Tribolium castaneum: one gene and its partners. The protein of the gene in region 4 interacts with the protein of the main gene of each other region in a biochemical or structural test. Links are inferred from orthologs where the notes say so. Each region holds a gene or a part of one and is shown on either strand. Other genes may lie near its edges. The genes, in order: Uba1, mr, Roc2 and ubiquitin-conjugating enzyme E2 S.

Region 1 (6,578 bases), on a different chromosome or scaffold from region 4:
GAATGAGTTCAATTTCACGAAATATTATATTGTTTAATTTCACAAAACAAAAATAAATACACCACCATTTCGTCAAGTGCGTGTAGGGATACCAACTGTGCGGAGTGCACTGCCTCTTTAATGACCTTGAGCGTTTAAAAAATCCTGATTTTTAAGATTTATTTCGTATTTCCTGGCATAATTTGCACATACGATTAAGGTTGAGGCTTTTGCGCTTTCTGGTGGTCAATTTTGCAGCGTCCTTCTGCCATATGGCAGGAAATTTAATTAAAATACAGGATGACCAACTCCAACGCAGTTGCAGTAAGTTTTAATTTATAATTTTGTACAAAAAAGGAGAAATAAGGAGAGCTCGTAATGTTCAAAACATATTTATTAAATTTCACACATCAAAATATTTAAGAAAATAAACACTATCCTGAACCTACAATGTATCCAGTATCAGCATACGTACGATTATATTGCATTAGCTCATTGAATTCACTCGCCATAACACAAATAATAGAAAATCAAGTGAGAATCACTGGGCAAGTAATAACAAATTCCTACCGAACACGTGTTCTAGTTATGCTTGCAAAAAATATAAATAATTTACAAGATCACAATTTGACAAATACCCAGAATAGTTCAATTTAGTGCACACCTAATAACTGTCATTAAATGCCCTAATACGAATGCAGCCAACACGCAACCATTCAAGGTAGATTATACTTAACATACGGAACTTCGACATCGTTTCCGTCAGCGTCGTTACAACACAGTTCAAACACTAGCGCCTTGACGTGCGGTTCGAGCTTCTTCTTCGACACTCGCTTCACAATCTCGGACATGGGCAACCCCAGGCGTTCCTGCGCCTTCGCTTTGGCCATAAAGAACGAGTACAGCATGCACACGCCCTGCGACAACATCGTGATCTCCAAGCCGTGCTTCTCTTTAAAGTACTCCAAAAACTCGCTCAGAGTCATCTCCCCATCCACCTCAAACCGGTCCCACAACGTCCACTCCTTCCCGCAATACTCGTTCTTGGGGGCGGCAATGGGCTCCGAAAACCCGAAGAACGGCAGAGCCAAGTTGACGAAACCGTTCTTGAACGGCGTCAACGATTTCAAACTTCTCGTTAATTTGTAAAGCTCGAGACAGACGAGGCCGGCGACGACTGAGGTTGTTGTCGCTATAGCTGGGATGATTTTGCCGGCGATCAGCTTGGATTTGTGACGATCGGCTGGAGGGATTTTGTAGTTGGCGGCTCGGAGATTCGAAGCCGCTACTATGAAATCCATGTGGAGGTTTGTGTCGTCGTCCTTTTCGAAATCAAGTGGAGTGAGGCAAAGATTGCCCAGTTCGGCGACCGAAGGTAATTCCTCTCTGATTTGGCCAACGCGGTCCAAGTCGACGCTTGAACCGTTCGTCATTGCCATCTGCGAATCGGTGACGGCGATCTTGACGCCAGATTTCGGGACGAACTCTGGTACCTGCAATTAATTATCATAAGAATATTATAAAACATTGTCTAATTGGATATTAATAAAAAAAAATCATATTTATTTCTTTAAAGCTTAAAGTGGCTGGCTTACGTGAATTTTTTGCACCACTTCGGCGATGTAAGCCCGATCCCTATTCTGCGGTATTCCATAAACCTCGGCTTTCAAATTAGCCGCTGCAAAAACATAATCCAAATGCAAGGTATTGTTCACATCGAATGTGAGTGGTTCGGGACACCTCTTCGGTCCCGACCAGAACAACTGTCCAGTGCTGGTTTTTTGATCCGGCGGGAAATTAAAAAGCAGTTGTTTGATCTGATTTGAATATTGTTCCTCCCAATGATGGCGGGCCCACACTACACAGTCTTCAAAACTCTTTGGCCTATCATCAACTAAAGCTGCCTTGACCGATTCCAGCACTTCAATCGGTTGAACTCCTGGTAATTTAATAGTACGTTCCAAAAATTCAGGATCGGTGAGATATTGCGATGCGTTTTCAGCACTCTGTCTGAAAAGGCCTTCGAAATTATCACGAGCCCATTGGAGAGTGTGTTCGATGGCGTTGGGGAAATTTTTAAGGGTACAAATCGGGATGCTCTTCTCGGGAGGGTCCTGTGACGAACTGTAGGATTCGGTGAGGAAAGGCACTACGACCTGGGTGTTGCCTTTTGTACCCAAGGTTCCGGATTCTAGTAGAGGTTTTCGGTAATAGACACATCGACGGTCCATGTAGATACGAGCGTCAACGTTATCTAAAGCGTTAGCTACGCCGTCTAACGACTCGAAGAAAGTGTCATCGTACATGTTTTCAGACTCGGGGCCCACGCGATTTTCATGGGCGACTATGTTTATGCTCGGGTTCATTTTCTTGATCACCTGTAGCAAAAATAAAGATTTTTTTTATTTAAAGACATTTTTAAATTTCATCTTCAAAAATGGTGGATGCGCCGGGTTACTCATTAAAAATTTAATAACTTAAAAACTAAAAGTGGTAGAGACAAACAGTTTGTTCCAGTGAATTCTGCGGATAATTTTACGTATTAAACCAGCTTATCACAGTATTTAAAACTGCCGAGAATTTTAGTTGGCCTGTTATGGTCTCACCTAGTACAAACCTCTAGCGAAGATAATTGACCGCGTTATTTAAAATCTTTGAAATTGAATGTTTACGCATCTGTGCGGTCCATTTTTATCGTTTTTTACCATTAAATTCGGAATTGTTTCAATAAGATGATTTTACCTTTGCTGCCGTTCCAGATTTGGGACGCTGAACATCATGTGGTCTGAACAAAAACTGTCGATTGAGATTAGATTTTTCAATAAGATCCATATCAGTGACGGTGATTTGTCCACCTTCACCACCAATTCCCATCATAGCGAAATTTTTAAGTAATTCGCAACCGATCGCTCCAGCACCTACTACGAAATATTTCAAACCGCCTGCAAAAAATAAATTAGCAACTTTTCGCCAAGAAATTACAAAAACGCACCTAATTTCTTCTGGAATTCGCTTCCGAAGACCGCAATTTGTCCATCATAGCGTGTGCCTTTCGGTGCCGCCGACTCTTCGGTAATTTCCCCAGCTTCCGTGGGCAAACATTCAATCGCATCGAAATACAACCACTGATAAATCGGGTGAAATTTCCCCGAACAAGCTTTCATAACTTCCTGCGCCACGATACCACCGATAGTCGCATTAATCGGATTCAAATCACCCGCGCACACTTTCGCAAACGTTTCTAACAAGTTAGTGTTCACTTCGGTATCGTTTCCGCCGTCCACGGCCAAAGATTTAGCAATGGACAGAAATTCGGATGCGTCTTCGTTGTTCCACGGTTTTGGTACACGGCCGTGCTTTTCGACGTATTTGTGCAACGCTTGAAAAGCCACGTGGAGCTGCTGTGGATGATCGAATTTCGCGAAATCGGTCATCAAAAATTCGGGCGATTTTAGCGAGTCTTTGAGTGATTTAAACGACAAGGTTTTGGGCATTTTCACTTGAGTGGCAATACCGCCACGCTCGTATTTCGAAAAGTTGGTCGTATCGCCGATGCTGAACGTGTAAGGGCCTAACACTTTGATTTTAATCGGCTTGCAATTGTTCAGTTCGGTCATTCCTTGGACTTCGGAAAATGTGACGTGGTCGCCGTCTTCCATGCCATGGCGGGTGTCGTCAATGCAGGTCACAATGCCTTTGAGAAAAAAAAACATCATTGAAAAAAACACCATTTTCAAACATATTTCGACCATTAAATTATAAAAGTATGACATTTAATGGCAGTGGAAACTAAATTTATTTTACATCTTCAACTTGGCGACAATAAACTTATGTGATGTGGTATTGACTTAGGCATTGAAATTATAACCACAATATCCATTACATTAAATCGATGTTTATTAAGGACAGAAGTTTTGTTACACGGCATCGTTGTTTCGCATGACCTTTACCTTACACGTATCTAAAATCAATTGAAATTCTCGATAGTGAGATTCACGACAGAATTGCGCTAAAAAAATGATGCAACATTTTTCTAATCTTTTATTTTTTTAAGGTATCTGTCTCAATGTCCGATTTGTTTTTAGCTTAGGACGAAAATAAATGTTTATAACGCAGACCACTTTATTTACACAATTATGGTTATTTTGAATTGCGTAGACAAATACCTACTCTTTATACAAAACATTGATTTGCATTTTTTGTTATACGTATTTTGATGACATGTAATAAAAACAGAAAATTAGTGATTTGAAAGAATTTAATTTTAGAGGTCTTTGAGCAAATTTCATCTTTTTTCAATTGTAGAAAAGCTAAAAATAGTACGAATTCATTAACCCATTGTTTATAGACGTTACAACAATGATCATTAAATAGCTGCTTTTGCAATGAAATAAAACAGAAACCAATATAATCAAATAAAAACTGTATTACGAGTAAGCTGCTTCACTACTCTATTAATTTTCTTGATCATTAATAATCCAAATGTGAATAACATATCACATATCGAGAGAAAAGAAATTATACCTAATAGATAATAATAATTAATAATAGCCAAATAGTTGATTTTTGATGATAAAAGCCCACAAAGACGTTCCGCTAACATTAAAAATTAATTTAGATTTTTTTTCTGATAATTTAACTTTTAATTTTTAATATTTTTCCTGAGACACTCTTTTAAATGTTGCGCCTCTGTTCCCAATATTGGCGAATTTATTGTCAAATTTGCTACTTTGATTAATTGTTTTGAACGTAAATCATCAATTAGTGTCATTCCTGCTAACTAAATTCAAGAAAAAATGATCTGCCAAAAACTTAATCGAAAAATCTAACATTTGGAGAGCTATATCTCGTAAAAAATGGAATTACCCTGTAATTGCCTGTCAATTGACTCAAAAGGCAAATTTTACAAAAAAAAATCGAGTGTCATGTGTAATTCAGTTAACCCAGACCCAGATTTTTAATTTTTTTCATGTTAACATTGTGTTACCCACTTTATCGATAAAAATAAGATTGAACATTTAAATTGGATTTGTCCTGATACATTTGGGTCATTAAAAACAGACATAATAATTTTTCAACAGCATAAAAAAATTGACAAAATAAGACTTTTTAGATTACGATACTAAAATTTGACAAAGCTTTACTGTACTGAGAATGGGAAAAGGAAAAGTGTTTAAACCAATTTTCGAATAAAAAAATACAGAGTTTTCTTTTGGTTTCCATAAAAAATGTGGCTTCAATAATGTAATTTATGCTTTAACAACAATATCAATTTCTGAAATTTTCTTAGTTGCAATCAAAAATATTTGATCTAGTTTTCAGACGACTTACATTTAAATAAATCTTAGTATGAAATGGTGTCATTATTACTCAGAACTGTATCGAATATGAATTTAAAAAAGTTTCGTTTAAAAATAAAATAAAAAATCTCTATTTTAAGCTATTTTATTTAATAAAATAGTTGAATACTGAATGCTTGGAGATCATTTAAGTTGCATCAAGATAAAATTATAGAAGTTTTGTGATTGCAGTGCTTCTTTAGCTGATCTTACCAAGTTGTTCTATTAGGTAAGATATTGTTTGAAGTACAGGGTGAGTCAATAGTGGGTTATTTCTTGACCCGGTATTTAACTAACAAACCTAAAGATTTTTTTAATAAATATACAGCTCACCTTCAAAATATCAACCTCCTACCCTCCACACAAGTGGTAGTTTACAGGAGGAAAAAAGGGATAGTACAGCATCTATTTTTAATAAAATCACATGTTTTTTACAACATTTTCTCAACATTTACACAAAGTTTAATGCCATTCGACTGCTACTTTGGTAAGCCAATAAATGGCTTTAGGTTTTATGAATAGTCTCGAATTATGTTTAATTTATTAGGATGACAGATTTATTTGACCATACGGTATTTGAGTACTGATATAGTGCCCTTTGGGGATTTTCACTCCATACCTTCGCACATCGCAAGGAAAACAAAGGCAAACTTCTAACATCGGATTAATTTTAGCCACATGATCAGGTTGATTGCACAATAATTGCCAATATAACCCGACGTACAACGTCAAGATTAGTCATTGTGTAACAATGCCTTCCATTAGGTTCTTTGTACCCACCTTCTTTATCGGTGGAAATATCAGCGATCATCGCCGAGACCGGCGACTCCCCGTTGGTGTCAACGACCGTGAAAGCATCCCCGAAATCACAGAACACTTGGGCAAAGAGCCCCCTCGTATCGGCCACAATGAGCGCAATGTTACTGGCATGTGTGATTTCGCTGATTTGCATCTGCTCAGCGAGACAACTATTGGTCAGGACAACGACTCGGAACTTGCGGATGAAGTCCGGCGTCAGGGGGCCCGTGTAGGCCTTCGTGGGGACGTAGGTGTTGAGCTCCGCCAGCTGCTTGCAGCAGACCTCGGCCCTGTTCTTGCCCACGTCGGCTTCGGTGAAGTAGAACTGCGACGAGAGGTCGGCGACGCTGCAAACGGCTTCGTCATGCAACGTGACGGACTTGACCCCGCCGAGGATGACGTTCTTGGCCACCTCGACGCCGAGCCCGCCCAGGCCTGAGACCAGCACGTCGCTGGAGGCCA
Region 2 (6,412 bases), on a different chromosome or scaffold from region 4:
TGCACCTACCTTCATATCGCTTCCACGTTGGCTACCGTTTGTAGCATTAAAAAAAATAATAATAAAGATGAAACCAAAAAAAATGTTTATTTGCATTAAATTTTGAGCAAGCCACTTTCATTCATTGAAATTAAAGGCAAAATTTCGTGGCAATAAATTATTTGAGTGGTTTATTTTATTTATAGTTACTGTATTTAAAATGTGTCACTCAAAATATCACTTTTCAATACCGCATTTATAGATTTTAATTGCATTTAAGTTTTATGAAATTATTGGTTTGTGAAATAAATAAATACGACACAGCAATAAAATACACCTACCTTCATATCGCTTCCACGTTGGCTACCGTTTGTAGCATTAAAAAAAATAATAATAATATAAATGAAAAAAAAAAAAAGGTTTATTTGCATTAATTTTGAACAAGCCACTTTCATTCATTGAAATTAAAGGCAAAATTACGTGGCAATAAATTATTTGAGTGTTTTATTTTATTTATAGTTACTGTATTTAAAATGTGTCACTCAAAATATCACTTTTCAATACCGCATTTAAAGATTTTAATTGCAATTAAGTTTTATGAAATTATTGGTTTGTGAAATAAATAAATACGACACAGCAATAAAATACACCTACCTTCATATCGCTTCCACGTTGGCTACCGTTTGTAGCATTAAAAAAAATAATAATAAAAATGAAACCAAAAAAAAATGTTTATTTGCATTAAATTTTGAGCAAGCCACTTTCATTCATTGAAATTAAAGACAAAATTATTACGTGGCAATTAATTATTTGAGTGTTTGATTATAATTTTATTTACTGTATTTAAAATGTGTCACTCAAACGCGATCACTAGTCACCGAATTGAAAATTTAAACCGGAAAATTTAGATTTGTTTGAGCACACGTCCGTTCGCGACAACGGCAAGTAACAAACTGAATAAATTGAAGGAAACCGCACAATACACAATAATTTAAATAAACCGACCCGACTCACCTCGCCTCCTGCTTCCCGCTCACGATCTGACCCGTGCCATTGCTCGCTGTCGACTGAAGCGCTCTCGCCGCCTGCGCCGCACACCTAACCTCGGGACACGTCACGGATGTGACGTCACTTAAGTCTAAAACAAGTCATTACCAGAAATATTCACTGGAAAAATTCGTCAAATTTAGAAACATTCATACACAGAATTATTTAAAATAGAACAGCATTGATCTAAAAAAATTAATTATGACAAATGTATTTGCCTATAAACGTCTAAAATTATAAAAGTTTCGCATGCAGTCAATGGAAAAATAAAAATGCATGTTTTTATTTAAACAGAAACTGGCAATGTGAAATTTTGGTGCGAAAATTAGTGGTATCGCAATGCGTATAGCAACATTGTTTGTTTGTTTCGTTTTGTTGAAAATTCGGTAGGTTTCAAAAGTAGGGTTATGTTGTCACCCGAAAATGACAAAATTTACACTTTTATGAATTTTGTCTCCATCTCTGCCCTTTCAGAGCGTTATGATAGGATATTTAGGGTCGAAATCTCTACCTTTATTATGTGCTATTGCCAGATAAGGACAAAAGTTCAGAAAGTAGGGTTAGGGTGTATTATGCTCTCTTCTGAAGTGTTAAATTTTAACTTTAATGTTTTTTGTGTGCTTTCCTGCTCTTCTAGAGCGCTATTAATTATTATTGAACATGTTTAAGGACAGACAAATCTACCTTGAGTCAACGACATAAATTTCAGTGAGATTTATTGAAAAATGCACTTCTCGTGTCAACCTTTTCATGAAAAAGGGTGTTTAAACGTTTATAAAGGGTATGTTAACGTGTGTTGTTAACTTTACCACGTAATAAAACATAAAGTATAACTTGGTAATTTTTTACTTTAACTACTTCTGGATTTTCAAGCTGAAACTTACACCAAACGATTCCTCTGAGTGCCCTGATGACCGTACACTATGAATTTTCTTGTGCAAATTGAAAATTACATTAGAAAAATAATTTTTATTTTCACTCACTTTTTACTTGAATCGCCATTTTTGTTGATTTTAATTTGAGTTTATTTTTTATAATATCACGTTAATTTTTATTATTATAGTGGATCAAAGTGTCGTCTTTAGGTTAGACTATTGCCTACTATCGGTTAGGAACAACATGATCTCCAAAAATATAACGTAGTAATGAGCTCCAGAAGGTTTACGTAGATAGGTGCGTTTTTCCCAAAAGTGAGTTTTTTGAGATCGAACCGCAAGTGAGTCACACTGCGAGGAGACTCCCATAGACAGAAGTTGCAAACATAAGGTGCCAGACCGGTGCCAGTTTGGCTGATTGCAAGTATGTCTTTATCATCGATTCGGTGACGACTATTAGTTTCGTAAACTTAATGGATTTAATAAATATCTTTAACATTAAATGTGATCGTGTCATGTTGGGTAAAATTCTTCCATCTGTGCTGTCTGTGGATCCACCTTTTCAAATACAATTAAGAAATTTTCATAATAATTGTATTTGATAAGGTATTGGCATCATTTTGACGTGAGCAAAAATTAAAAAAATATAAAGTAATCGGAATTATTTTAAATTTGCGCCATTTTTAGTACGTGATGATGCGGCTAGATGGCTTCAGCTAGGAATTCATTGCCAACCATTATGTTCCGCTTCTATAAAAGTGTTATTCTAGGAACAGAACCTAAAAGTTTGTCAGTTTTTTACGTTCAGCAATTATTATTTTTACAATGAATAATCAAAACCTGGACTTAAAAAGTGCGTGGATTACGATTAAAGAAGCTTTTCCAATCTTAGAAAGTCCTTCAAAGATCCCTGATAATGATTTCGACTCTGCCCCTTTTGAGGCAATCAGCATTATCAAAAGGCTCAATTTAACACAGCAAATTCAGGATTTGGTCATAATTAAAATAGAAGAACGTTTGAGGAAGGAAATAGTCCCAGATTTTTGGTCCCACTTTAAGAAAACCGAGAACGAGGCGGCAGTTTTTCACGAGTTCTACAGTGTGGTTAAATTTTTGTTTCACAATTATGTGCAGCTCGATTTAATTATTAACAAGTTGATACTGTTGAGAGAAGCAAGCAATTTCACTAAACCAGTGTACAATCAAACTTGCCTGCATGAAGCTTTAAAATTAATCGTTAGGGCCGTCTTGTTATCCCAACTCCCCATTGATCATGAATGGATGATAGTAAATTTTTACGAAACGGCGCTTAAAATGCAGGACCCGGAGGAAGAAAATAGCACAAGTGGGGAGTGTGTTGTGTGCATGCAAGAGGAATTTTCCTGTTCTTGTCGTGAAATGTTTGAAGAAACTAATAAGTAAATAGTTTTGTTTTTTATTTTTTTACTCAAATATTTGTGTCTAGGAAATTGGGCAAGATGACTTTATTGGAACCGTTAGTTGGCCAGGCTCTCACTGATTTAATTTATAGTTACATTCAGACACATATCCAGAAAATCTGTAAAGACAATTTTGATAATTCGCACATTGAGAGTCTAGAAAAGGTAGAAATCAGTCGTTTCTTGAATCGATTATACGAATTATTTTCAGTGGCTTCAAACGGTTGTTATTTCATGGTTGAAAAAAATTTACTTTCATAATTCGGCAGTCAAGGCCATGGATGAGTTTGACAAAAAACTAATCAATTATTTATACAACACTTACACCAAAATACGAATAGATCAGTTATTTAACATCATAATTGGTAAAAATTATTGTTTTTGTGGCAGTCTGTCATCAAATATTTTCAGAATATCCTGATTCTCTTCCGGCCCTTGACGACCTTCGACTATGCCTTCCAAAAACCGACCTAAAACCCCACTTAACTCGGTCGTTGCAAAAAGCAATTGAAACAAGATTATTACATCCAGGAGTAAGCACGTTTGACGTTCTGACGGCTTACGTGGCTACAATTCGGTCATTGCGGATTTTGGACCCCTGTGGACTGCTTCTAGAGACAATTACTCAACCGGTTCATCAGTATTTAAGGAGTCGGGAAGACACAATAAGGTTTAATAATTAAAAAAAAATGGTCTAGTTGGCATATTTGACGTTTAAGTGTCAAATTTTCATAGCTAACTGGAATTTCGGAAAGACAATAAATAGTGTAGTTGGCCTTGAATGACATTTAAGTGTCAAATTTCCACAATTAAGGGGCACTTTGTGTACAATAATTCCGAAATAGGGCGAAATTTTTAATACAGGTGTGTGGTGGGTAGTTTGACTGAAGAGGGCCCAAATGATTTAGCTGAAGAGCTGGTCCGGGGCGAAGCCGTGCAAGTGGACGAGAACATTTCGGTCGATGAGGGGGTTGAAGACTGGGAAACGTGGACCCCAGATCCGGTAGATGTCGTCCCCAGTAAGTGTCTTTTTATCGCTTTGAGGGAAATCGACGTTGGCATTTCCATAGTTTTGAAACAGAGAATAGTCACTTTTGACAAATGATTTTTTCTTCTTACGGTGACAGTTTATTTAAATTTAATAATTCTAGTGCTTAGTCACCAACCAGCAAACTAAATTATAAAAAAATATTTATTTTTGAGTTATTTGTTACAAAAAAATTGTACTTATTAACTTGTTTAGGTGCTAATTTCCTATATTTGCAATTCATGTCCTCCCCTCCTCTCCCCTCGGTCGTGCTGTAAACCACCTGCTTATGTGAAAAATTGCTTTTTTAAACGATTTATTAAATAACGACAACTGATTTTTTCCATTTACATTTTACATGATTATTTATTGTCCTCAAGAAGCCCAAAAAGTTGACGAAACGTAAGCAACAATTATAAACCAAATAAGCTTTGTCTGCCTTCCCAATAATAATTAGACTTATCCCACGTATAATATAAATAACTAATTCCCTCGAAAAATTAAGGCAAATCTTCGGGACTTCCCCGCACTTCTGACATCATCTCAATGCTTGTCAACGTCTACGGCAGTAAGGAGCTGTTCGTCAACGAATACCGCACCTTATTAGCCGATCGTCTTTTGTCGCAATACTCCTGCGACACCGAGAAAGAAATTCGTTATCTTGAACTCCTGAAGTTGCGCTTTGGTGACTCCCAACTCCACTTTTGCGAAGTTATGTTGAAAGATATCGCCGATTCGAAGCGAATCAATCAACATATTCAGCAAGACTTGAGTTATTCAGACGATGATATTCCCATGTCTGCCATGATCCTAAGCGCACAGTTTTGGCCAGCGTTCAAGGACGAGAAGCTTGAACTCCACGAAAAATTGGTGAAACAGATGGAGAGTTACACTGGTGCTTTTGAAACTTTAAAAGGTAGCAGAACCCTGTGTTGGAAAAATCATTTAGGAATTGTGGATCTTGAAATTGAATTGGCGGATAGGACTTTGAATTTGTCGGTTTCACCGGTGCATGCGACGATTTTGATGCACTTCCAAGATCAGAGTGAGTCAAAAAGATCAAGATTTTAAGCGACTTATTTTTTCGTTTCAAGATACTTGGTCTTTGGAAGCTTTGAGTAAAGTAATGCACGTTCCGTCGACAATTTTACGGCGCAAACTGAGTTTCTGGCAATCACACGGGATCATAACTGAGCCCGAACCCGACGTTTTTTATCTACAGGAGGAACAGGAAAATAACGAAAATAATATACAGGATGATATTGTTGTTGAAGATTTTGAATCAGAGTCGGCGATGGCCAGCGCTCAAGACCAACGCGAAGAGGAATTACAGGTAAAAAATCTATACAAATTGGCTATAACTTTGAAATTACGTTGGTAATAAAGTCAGTTGTCAATGCTGCCAACCTAATTTCAGTATCATAGGTCAATCTGTACTGAAGTTTATGGGAAAACATGTTATTTTTTTTAACAGACTTTCTGGTCGTACATTTTGGGTATGTTGATGAATTTGGACACTTTACCTTTGGAGAGAATCCACCAAATGTTGAAAATGTTCGCATTCCAAGGACCCACAATTGAGTGCAATTTGCAGGAACTGAAAGTGTTTTTAGATAGGAAAGTTAGAGAGCATCAGTTGATTTATTCAAACGGACTGTATAGATTGCCTAAATAGCTTTATTTTATATTTATAAGTCTTTGCATTTTGCTACCTACGTATTCCTATGATCCTAGTCCATAACTCAATTTAAAATTTTATAATTTTTAGAGGTTTTTGTATTCAACCAACTATACGACGGAAAGCAGTTGGATTGCCTATTTTTATGAAAGTTAGCAAAATTTTGGACAGAAAATGTTTAAGACAATGAGTGTATATCGCGGACCCCAATTATCTTATGCCCCAAATATATTTGGGGGGATAATTTTTTTTATTAAAATAAGAAAAAGAGCGCGCAAAGTATAAAAAATAGCAAAAAATACTCGTTTTACAACGGTTTTGGCGCTTACGGCTCATTTTCTAACTTGGCATTGTGCGCCAAATCAAC
Region 3 (4,806 bases), on a different chromosome or scaffold from region 4:
AAAACTAAAGTAAAAGAAATTATAAATCAAAATCGAAACTAACCATGCAACATACCTAGGCGCTGTTGGATTCGCCACAGCGTCTGCCTCCTTAAGTGCGTTCACCACCCACTCCCCCACATTCACCAGCTTTACTTCGTACTTTTTAATAAACGACAAATTTTTCAGTTTCGCATATTTAGGCCTCTGTTTTTGATCTTTAATTAAACTGAAACCAACGTTTAAAGACCGGCTCTTAACGATTCAATGTTAATTAAATAGGAGGCGACAGCCACAGATCACCCCGGTTACAAATTGTCTTAAATTATTATGTATATTGTTTTCGAAAATATCTTTATTTCTTTACACCTAACTACAATTTTCTGTATATCTTGTGTTGAAGATTATTATTATTAATATTATTAGAGATTCATTTTGCGAAAAACGCGTTCATTGAAGTCAAATCACAAAAAATATTTCGTGAAATATCAGCAAATCATGTAAATTATTACGTAAATTCTTACTTTGCATAAAAGCAGTGTGTCGCCTCCTATTTTAGGCTCCCACAGTGCCATACTTACCAAAATTTAACAAATTCCCTAAATTCCGGACTAAAAGTCTCAGGTAAGCTTGGCGGATCTTGTCCTAGCACTTTGGTTAGGACTTCAAAATCGGTTGTACAGTTGGGATATGGGAAAACCCCCGTTGCTAATTCAACTAGAGTTATGCCTAATGACCAAACGTCGGCACGTATGTCATAGTCGGGATTTTTAGGGTCGGGTTCAATGCGTTCCGGCTAAATTAAAAAATTAGAAAAAAAATAAATGTGGGGGAAAAACTCACAGCTAAATATGCAGCACACCCAGCGCTCCTAGTTTTTGCCATTGAGTCCACCAAACGTCCACTAATACCAAAATCACACAATTTTATATGGCCTTTAGTGTCGATCAAAATATTTGAAGGTTTTACATCCCTATGTATCACACCGTGCTTATCTTTTAAATACGATAAAGCCTCTACAGTCTGTAACGTTCAGTGAGCGTGGTGCTTGAAAAGGAAGACGTGTACTTACAGCAACTGTAACTTTACCCAGGATTTCTTCAGGTATCGGTTTACCTAACCGTTTTAGTAACTTATCAAAGCACGTAGTCATGAGCTCCATGCATATCCAGACTTCCGAATCGGTTATAAAACAGCCTAAACATTGAACTATATATTTACAGTCGTGTGACTTTAGGACCACTTCAATGTCCATAATAATCCTTTTGTTTTCGTCGTTGTTGCCCGAACGTCGCATTTGCTGAAATGGAAGCCCGTGAAATAAATTGTGTTAATTTTTGGACCTTGATGTTTACTTTGACGGCTATGATTTCGCCACTTAGTTTGTGTCTCATTTTGATAACGTGACCGCAGGTCCCGAAGCCCAGTTCTTCAAGTCTTTCCATATCTTTTATATCAGTTTCGTATAGTTTGTTGTTGATTGTTAGGTTACCACTAATTTTCATGATTTCTTTCAACTTCCTATCAGTCTCTAAATTTTCACTGCTTCTTGGCGTGAAAGATAAATCTCGTGGCCGGCTGGGGACCATGCCCACTGGGAAAACCAAAGATCGCTCTTATTTTCCCCCTTAACTTATTAAACAACTTACATGGGAGACTCGGGCGACTGTGAGGAACATCACCATTATTTCTGGCGATACTTTGACCGGACATTTGCAGATTGCGTGGAGGATTGTTTCCTTGTCTTAATCGATCTAATAAATTATTTATTTTCTGTTCTTGACTAGACATAATTATACTTACTACAAAGTCAAAACCAATGACAGCTATAACCTGTAACTTTTAGCTGCCAAAGGAAAAACACCATCGGTTGGCCAACCTGACACAGTTGCTACCGAACTCATCAGAAATCAAAAGTTCCCACAAATAAAACAACCAGTTCTGTTTTACAATTTTATTAATAAAAGGAAATACAATTAATTATGTTTGGGCATGTTTGGCATTATGATGCCTCTTTAGTTTTTGACTTTCCGTGAAAGACTTGCCACAATTGGGAAACTGGCATACATAAGGCCTCTCCCCAGTGTGGCTCCTCAAATGGATGATCAGGTGGTGCCGTTCGAAAAATGTTTTAAAGCATTCGTCACACTTATGTAAGCGCAAACCCTGAAAAGTACACGAAATCATTATTTGCCCATCCTCTGGATGGACCATTCTTGCTGACACAACGGGCAGCGATTATTTTGCTTGACCCACAAAGACATGCAACAATAGTGAAACGAGTGGTTGCACTCCCCCCACACCACCACGCAATCCTGCTTCCCGTACGAGTCTTTTTTGCTCTCAGCTTGGCACCGCAAACACGCGTCCATCACTTGCACGCGACAAATCGCACAAGTGTCGCATTCCACGTCCCAGCTCCACATTGCAACAGCGTTCCATTTTTTCAAAGTGAACATTTTCTCGCTCTTGGCTCCCTCGCCGTCGAGGCGCTCGGTGTTCTCGTTCTCGTCGGCAATAGAACTCGACATGGTGGCAGTTATCAACCAAGGGCGTTATTTATTATCCTAATTGTAACCTCAATATTTGCGATGACGTTTGACGCGTTAGTAACAGTGCCACCAACAAGAACACGCTAAATTACAAAAATACCCACCTGATGGTACCTTTGGTGCTTCAGGAGCTCTTTTTTGGTATAGAACGCCGAAGGGCAGGACTGGCACTTGAATTCCTTGATTCCTGTGTGAATTCTTTCGTGCCTCTGCAAACTGCACTTTGAAGCAAATGCTCTGGAACACTGCGAGCAGTAAAATCTGACTCCTTCATGATGCTTTTTTTCATGTGCCCTCAGATTACTTCGCACAGAAAACCCAAGATTACAGAGCTTACACACGTAACCTTTCACTTCCAGGTGTATTTTTTCGTGGCAGGTTAATGAATTTTTTGTGATGAAGCCTTTGCCTGTAATAATTTTTTACTTGTGGGGCGTTAATAGAAATAATTGTTACCACAAGTTACACACAAAAACGAGCGTTTCCCCTGATGTTTGAGCTCATGCGTTTTTAATGTGTAGGCGGAACTGAGGATTTTTTTACAATTCTTCCAACTACAAACGAATTTGGCTTTTTTAAACGCCTCCAAATCCTCTGTTTCTATTTTATTTTCAAAACTATCATGTTGCGAATTTTCTTCTTCTGTGAAACAGTTGTGAGACCCATACTCCTCCAAGTTACAAAACTTGTTATCACATTTCGGACACGAAACTTCTGCTTTAATTTCCTCCTGACTAACACTTATCTGGTGTGAATTTAAATGATTCTTAAATAAATCATGATCACTGAACTCCCCTGGACATTGTTCACACTTGAAGATTTCTTCTTTAGTGTCCTTACTTTTGGCTTCGCAATTTTTTAAAATCCTTCTGAAACACTGATCCACTTTGCGAATGTGTTGCTTGTAAAGCGAAAAACATTTTATGGTTTTTTTGCACTCCTCACACACAGAACGCGGCAAAAGCTCCATAGATTTATCATTTACCTACAAAAAAGTTCTTTAATAAATTACAAATTGGGCAAGTTTTTTTCACCTTCACTTTTGTGCATTCGTAAATTTCTTTTACTAATTTTTTGTCTGTTTTTATGTCGTGTTGGCCGGGCTTTGTGTGACACAATCGGCAGTTTTTCAGCCTTATTTGTTCGAATAAAACCATTTTCGTTTTTGTTGGTAAACCGTACCCTAACCTTACTTTTTTTTAATATACAGTATGTCCCAGAAAAGTTGAGGTGGAAGGATTAAATCGAATTCTATTTATATTATTTATTTGAATATAATAGTTACTGGTAAATAATATGCACATAAAAATAAAATACACTGACTGTACATCATAATAATACAGAACAGCATGATAGTGGCAAACGTTAGTAAAGAACTAAAAGACGATAAAAATCTTATCACACTGTCCTAATAAACTTAAGTTAGATGGAATTTGTATGTACACCTTAGAATACAGCTGATAAAAATTTCAGTATTTAAATAACATGGACTATAATAGTATTTATACATCAGACTGGAGTAGTGCAAGCGTAAACAAAAAACAATCCCAATACAATCTATTATGTTAAATAATAATTAATCAGTATTTATTGTTAGATAATACCTCAATACAAAGAAAACTTACTTACGAACATGATATAACAATCTTTTGAACTATTAGTACAATCTAACTTAATTATTTCACAAAATAACAAGTGTAACCTGTCAGTCTGGTTTTAATAAATGCACACAATTTTAAATCCTCAATCACCTCTAATCTTAATTTAATAAAAAGGATCGACGTAAAACTAGTCTAGTTTTAGCAAGCAAGCTAACAATAGTTTATTTGTTTTCAGTAAACAACCTGAAAAAAATTCTCCCTTTCGAAATTTCCAAATTTAAGTAGCTTATCAGGTCACCTCAATCTCTCTAGTAAAAGAAACAAAACGAAAAAAATGTTTCATACGATTTTCTTAATTATTCAGTCTGTGTAATAAGTATATACACGAGTTAGGGTAATCAATGCTCGCTCTGGATCTGCAGAGGCACATTTTGGAGTATACTGTTTCCTAAAGCGTTCTATCCCTCCGAAACCGACGATAAACTGCTCCTAGTCGACCCCATCCCGATCTTGCAACTCTCCTGGCTCAGATCGGGCAAATCTGGAGGCAAAGCCAGAGGAGTACTGATCGGCCCATAAACCCTTTCCTGTTCTTCCAACTGCTGGGCAAACGCCTCTTCCAATTTCTAAACAATTACACAATTTACGACACAAAAACGAGGAGACAACGGGTG
Region 4 (5,437 bases):
TTCATGTAAGAAATCTTCCAGAAACACTTCCATTATAAAAAATATATTTTAGAAAAATGTGTAGGTAATTTCTTCTTCAATACTGTTTTTCGCAGATAATTCTAACAAAAATAAAACTAATACTTTCTATACTTTTTCTAAGCACCAACCCTTCCCAGGTAGTATCCTTACAAATAATATCTCACCTTCAAAATTAATTTTTGTGGACTTCTCCATGGGACAATCTCACCGCAAACATTATATCAATCAAACACAATAAAATTTTATTTGGATAAACCAAAAATTGAGATGGTAGTCATTCACTCCGATTTTGGACTTAAATTTTATTTTTCCACCTGTTTGGATAATTTATTTAAAAGTCCTGCACTGGATTTAGTAAAGGAAGACATCGATGATGAATTTTTTTTCTTCGATTTGGTCCTCAGAGCTACCTTATTTTATCACTTGCGAATTTTTTAAACAATTTAAATGTTACCTATTTATTACATATTTGATTTTCCAGAAGAACAGTTTCGAAAGGATACATGGCCAAAGATGGATCAAACATTTGTCTTCTCAAAATTAAAAATGAACAAGTTTTAGTACCACTCGAGCCACATCTCGATATTTTACCCAAGGAAATGGACAAATTTTATTTAGCTACAAACGGATTTCGAGACAGCTTTGCCACACAAATAGCAAAACCAAGATTGACTTAAGTTAAGTATGTTAACTTTTCTTACACTTATAATTTGGTGGCATTCACAAGTGTTCGTTCATTTCGGGGCCAATACAATGAAAGAAACGAAATTAATTCCTTTTTATACTACATCGCCTATATCCATCATCGGAATACAGTGGAACTCGGTTATTACGAGCACCCAAGGGACTAGAGAATTTATTTGTTGTAACTTATAACAGTTATAACCGATCGTTGGTTCTAATCGAACATCGTTCTTATGGAGTAATTTTCAAGTTAAATGAGTTCTAAAGTTTGAAAGAGATACAGGAAATAAAGTATTAATCTATTTTGTTATAAAAAAGATATGTACATAATTGTGGGTACGGTTGGCGTCTGAGGATAAACTACTTCTCTTTGTCATTCATGCTATATGATGTAACTAAACATTCAGTCATAAATGTGTAAACAAATATGTAGTATTATGGTCTATAAAATTATTTTTCAAATGGATTTGGTCTCTCACTAAAACAATAATTTGATTTTCAGTTTTTATTAATAAATAATTCACAATTCTCTACCACAAATACATCCTAAGGCTCAGCTATGTTTGATGTTGAGGCCAACAATGTTCCGGTTTGTTTCAATATTTGTTGCAGACACTTTGTAATTGACTGGTGGAAAACCAACTGAGCCTAACATTTATTTTTTGATTGGAACCATGAATAAATTGCACTTTGTGCATGCACTACATTCAAAATAACACGAAATGAAAAGGTCTCAACCAAACTGTAGCACACATATAAATTAATAAATCATTCTTGCATACTCAAAAAATATAATTTAATAATTAAAAAAAAATAGTTAAAACAAAGAAATAAACAAGAATGGCAGTAACGGTTTTCATAAACGCTTCAACGTCCGTTTCTTGTCTTTAAGTATCTTCTTTTTCTCCGCTGTTAGTTTACTCTTATCACTGGCGTGCTTCTTAGCCAGAGGGCCCTCCCCGCTGCAACCTTTTGAAATTTTTTGGGGCTAAAAAACCAAATTATAGATCTATTCACTGATTTTGGCTAAAATTCACCTGAGCGTGAATTTCCGTCATCATTTTGGCCCGCTGTGAGTAGTCTTCGTACTGTTCGAGGAGCAGTTTCCCGGCTTCTTCATTGAGGGCTGATTCGGCGTTGGGCACAATGAGGAGGCATTTAATGGTCTGAAAAAGCGCAATAACCTCAAAAACACTCAAAACCGGAACACCTACCAGTAATATGTGTTTAATTCCGAGATCTGACTTCCAATCCTTTTTTAACGTGTTGACGCAAATCTCGCCATTGGCGGCCACATTTGGGTGGAAAATCTTCGTCAGAAAGAAGGCCTTGGGCGGCTCCTGAGGGAACCCCTTGCCCAGAGTGAGCTTCACCTTGAAAACGCCCCCCATATACGGCGTCCCTGCAACAGGAAGCTTGCACAACGTTTCCAGGACAGAGGGGCCACTAACCTGCAGGACCGTCAATGTACGCCTGAATATCGGTCACATCTTCGTCGTTTATTTGAACTTTGATCCCTTCGGGAGGATTTGAGACTAGATCTTCCATTTCTTTGACCACTCGACGGATGATCTGGGGCGAAAGATTCTCCACATTGTTTGACATCTGAAAACGGAAAAAAACGTACCAAAAACGACTCCACGAGACGAAATACGACGACTCACTGCTCCGGCACTTGCCCTTAATTAAAAATATCACAAGAAATCGACTAAATTGGCGATTTCACGACGCTAAAACAACCTGACAATCGTGATAACAAACATCAAACTTGGCGTTCTAGAGAAAACAGATGAACAACGAAATTTGAATTTTGCCACCAATCACATGCGTTTAATCTCGGACCCGGGGACGGCACACCGAAAAAACGCCAAATGAAACTCAAAAAAAAATTTCTTTCGCCCTGCACCACGCATACACACATTCAGCGACGAAAAAAGCGACGGATGAACCAAAAAATCGTTAAAATTAGCGCAAAAAGCGGTTAGAAATTTTTTGAAGCGACACCTGGCGACAGTTTAGTTAGAACATTTAAAAGTTGATTTTAGCCACTAAACCGCCTAATCTTAGGAAAAAATTAAAACTTTGCATTAACCACATTCTACAGGGGGTAAAAAAAGTGAAAAAAACGCCCAACAAAAGGTAAGATTGCACTTAAAGAACATATTTTGTTTCAAAAGCGCCCTCTGGCGAGTTAACAAACGGACTAGACGGTTAAAAAATCGGTTCTCGCCAATGGTTTAAAGACATAGTTGTGCCGTAACTCCTAAAACTAATCAATAGACGGCGCGCGAAAACGTCACTGAGATGGCACTTTTGAATTTCATACGTAATTTTTTGCTACTTTGTGTGACTTGGAGAAAATTATAATTGCAGGACAATGAAAATTTTAATATACGCCATTCCAAAGATATGTGGCCACACTTTTATTGCGGTAAAAACTATTTGCCTCTCAACCTCTAATCAAAAGTAATCCGTTTCTTCCTTGAAGTCAGTTTGATCCAAATTCAAAGGGACTTTAGGTCGCTGTTTAAAATAGCACAATTGTTCAAAGAACAATTTACACTAGTGAATTACACTATAGGAAGTGGATGCAAAGAAAATGAAACTGCTGTTATCAAAAGATCTGAGAGAGATAAGAATAAGTATACAGAAACATTTTTAACATTTGAACGAAGCGATGAATTTATTGTAACCTAAATAACATTGTCGATTTTTATGGATGACTGATGGGCAACCAGATTTACAGTCTATATTATCAAGTAAATAAACAACATTTAACCTTAAAAAAATATGAAAACTCAAAAAGCACACAGCCGGATTTCTAGTTTACATACCATAGGTGTCATATAATGGAGGTGAGTGTTTAAATAAAAAATAATATTTTTAAAAAACAATTCGTTACTGTAAACTATCATGCAGTTTTCCGATTTTTTGGCCACTTTTCAATTATTTTTAGAATCCCTATCACCTTTCTTTTTTGTCGCTCATGTTTTTAAATGGTTTTACAACTGAAATCTTCATAAAAGTCACCAACATTGTTTTACAATGTAAATTTTCCCAAAACACGATATAAATCGCATGTAAACAATGCAATAATACGTTAGCCATCTGGCTGACGAAGCAATATGGCGGTTCTCCCACTCCTCACAGAGTCACAACGCAACCATGTCTATACTAACCTTGGTTTTCGCACTTTTTTCGGTACAATCATAGAATAAGAGAGAGAGGGTACAATTTACCAAATTAATTTCGATTTCTTGGCACCGTCATGTTTAACAATTTGCTTAATTCGTCAAATGCAAAGTTTTTTAATTACTCCCTCGCTTTCGCTTCGGTGGATTAAATTCGTAAAATTTTTGAAAATCAAAACAAATTTCGGCCATGATGTGACGTCATGACCGACGCACCAATCAGAGGTTTATTTTGGTCCCAAATGTGGCTGTGTGATCCAGTGATCGCGTCAGAACAATAAAAAACCATAGAATAAGAGAGAGGAAGAAGCGAATCTCTCTGTCTACCCCTCGTTTTTTCGCGAAAGCGCCACCTAACCCGGGGAGAACGAACTAATTCGATAATAGCGGGAAATTCAAACAGGACATTTTATTTATTTTCCAAATTTAAAGAATTATAAATGTTAAATGTTTCTGTACTCATGCACTGTTACGAAACATTTTAATAAAAAAGCATCTGTAACAGTTGCAATAGCACAAAAACATTTAACATCCCTTAATAAAATGAAACAAAGTCTTTCCAATAAAAATTTATTGAAAAAATAATAACGTGCTGGAATGTATAGGCAAAATTAATTTAACTCGAATTGTTCTTCATAAACATACTCAGATGTAATAATATGTGTAAATACATTGTCTAAATATACACAATGATCCAGAGAAACTGAGTATGTTGGCATCAGATTAAATTATTGAATTGCTACCTGAAAGTGTACACTATTGGTATCCTTTAAAATTTAAATTCAGATTGCTAACAGACACAGTATTTCGGGATCAGTCTGTATAAATACATCAGTTTTGTTGGTTTGATTACTTGTCTACAGACTGTTCAGAAAAGCAAAAAAATATCAAAATTTTGCTTGTAACCTTTGACAATAGTCCAATTTTTAAGTCCCTTAAGGCTAAATTTAAACAACTATTTTTCGAAATTTATTCGTGGTTTACGGACGTTTGTAAAAGCGGCCCTAACACGTACTTTAACAGTTTGATGTCAAAGTTCTTGATAAGTTTTGAAATTTTTTAAAAGTAATCTCGATTGCATCATAGTTATTAGTAAATTACTCAAACACAAGAGAATTACAAGTGTGCTAAAATTATTTTAAATAAAAAGCCACATATCTGATATACATAACTATAACTGGAAGTTAACTGATTAAAACTACCATGTAATCATTTAAATTTATAATAATAGTAGGCTTTAATATTGATTAACTTGTATGATACTTGTAGAATACGTTTTTTCGCTTAGTTTCTAAATTAGGCAATCACAAAAAGGACAAACCTTGTTTTTTTAACAGGCATAGGCGTTATAACATTGTGTAAAACAACATAAAAGATTAAGACATAGAGGGACATGGCGAATTTGAAAACCTTGAACCATAGCAAGTCCTAAACCCCCTGCTTTCACAAAATACTAGCTTCGCAACTACAATAAATTTATTTATTATTATGATATACCTATTAATTACTGCACATTATATTTAACTCGTCTTCATGGGATT

The links.
Region 1: of the proteins of ubiquitin-conjugating enzyme E2 S (region 4) and Uba1, one has a biochemical effect on the other in vitro, tested with the Homo sapiens proteins (8 studies listed by BioGRID, with this or other methods). The link is inferred for Tribolium castaneum from reciprocal best matches to the Homo sapiens genes UBE2S and UBA1.
Region 2: the proteins of ubiquitin-conjugating enzyme E2 S (region 4) and mr form a complex in vitro, tested with the Homo sapiens proteins (3 studies listed by BioGRID and IntAct). The link is inferred for Tribolium castaneum from reciprocal best matches to the Homo sapiens genes UBE2S and ANAPC2.
Region 3: the proteins of ubiquitin-conjugating enzyme E2 S (region 4) and Roc2 form a complex in vitro, tested with the Homo sapiens proteins (3 studies listed by BioGRID). The link is inferred for Tribolium castaneum from reciprocal best matches to the Homo sapiens genes UBE2S and RNF7.

The regions. Positions count from the first base shown.
Region 1 is NC_087394.1:32,759,054-32,765,631, reverse strand, and holds the end of Uba1 (ubiquitin-like modifier-activating enzyme 1), read right to left. Parts: coding exon 6,099-6,578; intron 3,674-6,098; coding exon 2,972-3,673; intron 2,922-2,971; coding exon 2,722-2,921; intron 2,358-2,721; coding exon 1,575-2,357; intron 1,473-1,574; coding exon 696-1,472; 3' UTR 356-695; downstream 1-355. UniProt on the Homo sapiens protein: Catalyzes the first step in ubiquitin conjugation to mark cellular proteins for degradation through the ubiquitin-proteasome system.
Region 2 is NC_087394.1:29,187,932-29,194,343, forward strand, and holds mr (anaphase-promoting complex subunit 2), read left to right. Parts: upstream 1-2,631; 5' UTR 2,632-2,726; coding exon 2,727-3,319; intron 3,320-3,366; coding exon 3,367-3,505; intron 3,506-3,551; coding exon 3,552-3,705; intron 3,706-3,751; coding exon 3,752-4,010; intron 4,011-4,204; coding exon 4,205-4,359; intron 4,360-4,872; coding exon 4,873-5,412; intron 5,413-5,461; coding exon 5,462-5,700; intron 5,701-5,841; coding exon 5,842-6,042; 3' UTR 6,043-6,061; downstream 6,062-6,412. UniProt on the Homo sapiens protein: Together with the RING-H2 protein ANAPC11, constitutes the catalytic component of the anaphase promoting complex/cyclosome (APC/C), a cell cycle-regulated E3 ubiquitin ligase that controls progression through mitosis and the G1 phase of the cell cycle.
Region 3 is NC_087397.1:2,862,946-2,867,751, reverse strand, and holds Roc2 (RING-box protein 2), read right to left. Parts: upstream 2,623-4,806; 5' UTR 2,511-2,622; coding exon 2,166-2,510; 3' UTR 1,919-2,165; downstream 1-1,918. Other genes in the region: dual specificity mitogen-activated protein kinase kinase 7, read right to left, coding at 56-208, 561-775, 823-1,002, 1,052-1,279, 1,335-1,573, 1,629-1,692; Slik (STE20-like serine/threonine-protein kinase), read right to left, coding at 4,591-4,758. UniProt on the Homo sapiens protein: Catalytic component of multiple cullin-5-RING E3 ubiquitin-protein ligase complexes (ECS complexes), which mediate the ubiquitination and subsequent proteasomal degradation of target proteins.
Region 4 is NC_087395.1:19,972,037-19,977,473, forward strand, and holds ubiquitin-conjugating enzyme E2 S, read right to left. Parts: upstream 2,664-5,437; 5' UTR 2,370-2,663; intron 2,311-2,369; coding exon 2,157-2,310; intron 2,108-2,156; coding exon 1,920-2,107; intron 1,872-1,919; coding exon 1,743-1,871; intron 1,694-1,742; coding exon 1,562-1,693; 3' UTR 1,196-1,561; downstream 1-1,195. UniProt on the Homo sapiens protein: Accepts ubiquitin from the E1 complex and catalyzes its covalent attachment to other proteins. Catalyzes 'Lys-11'-linked polyubiquitination.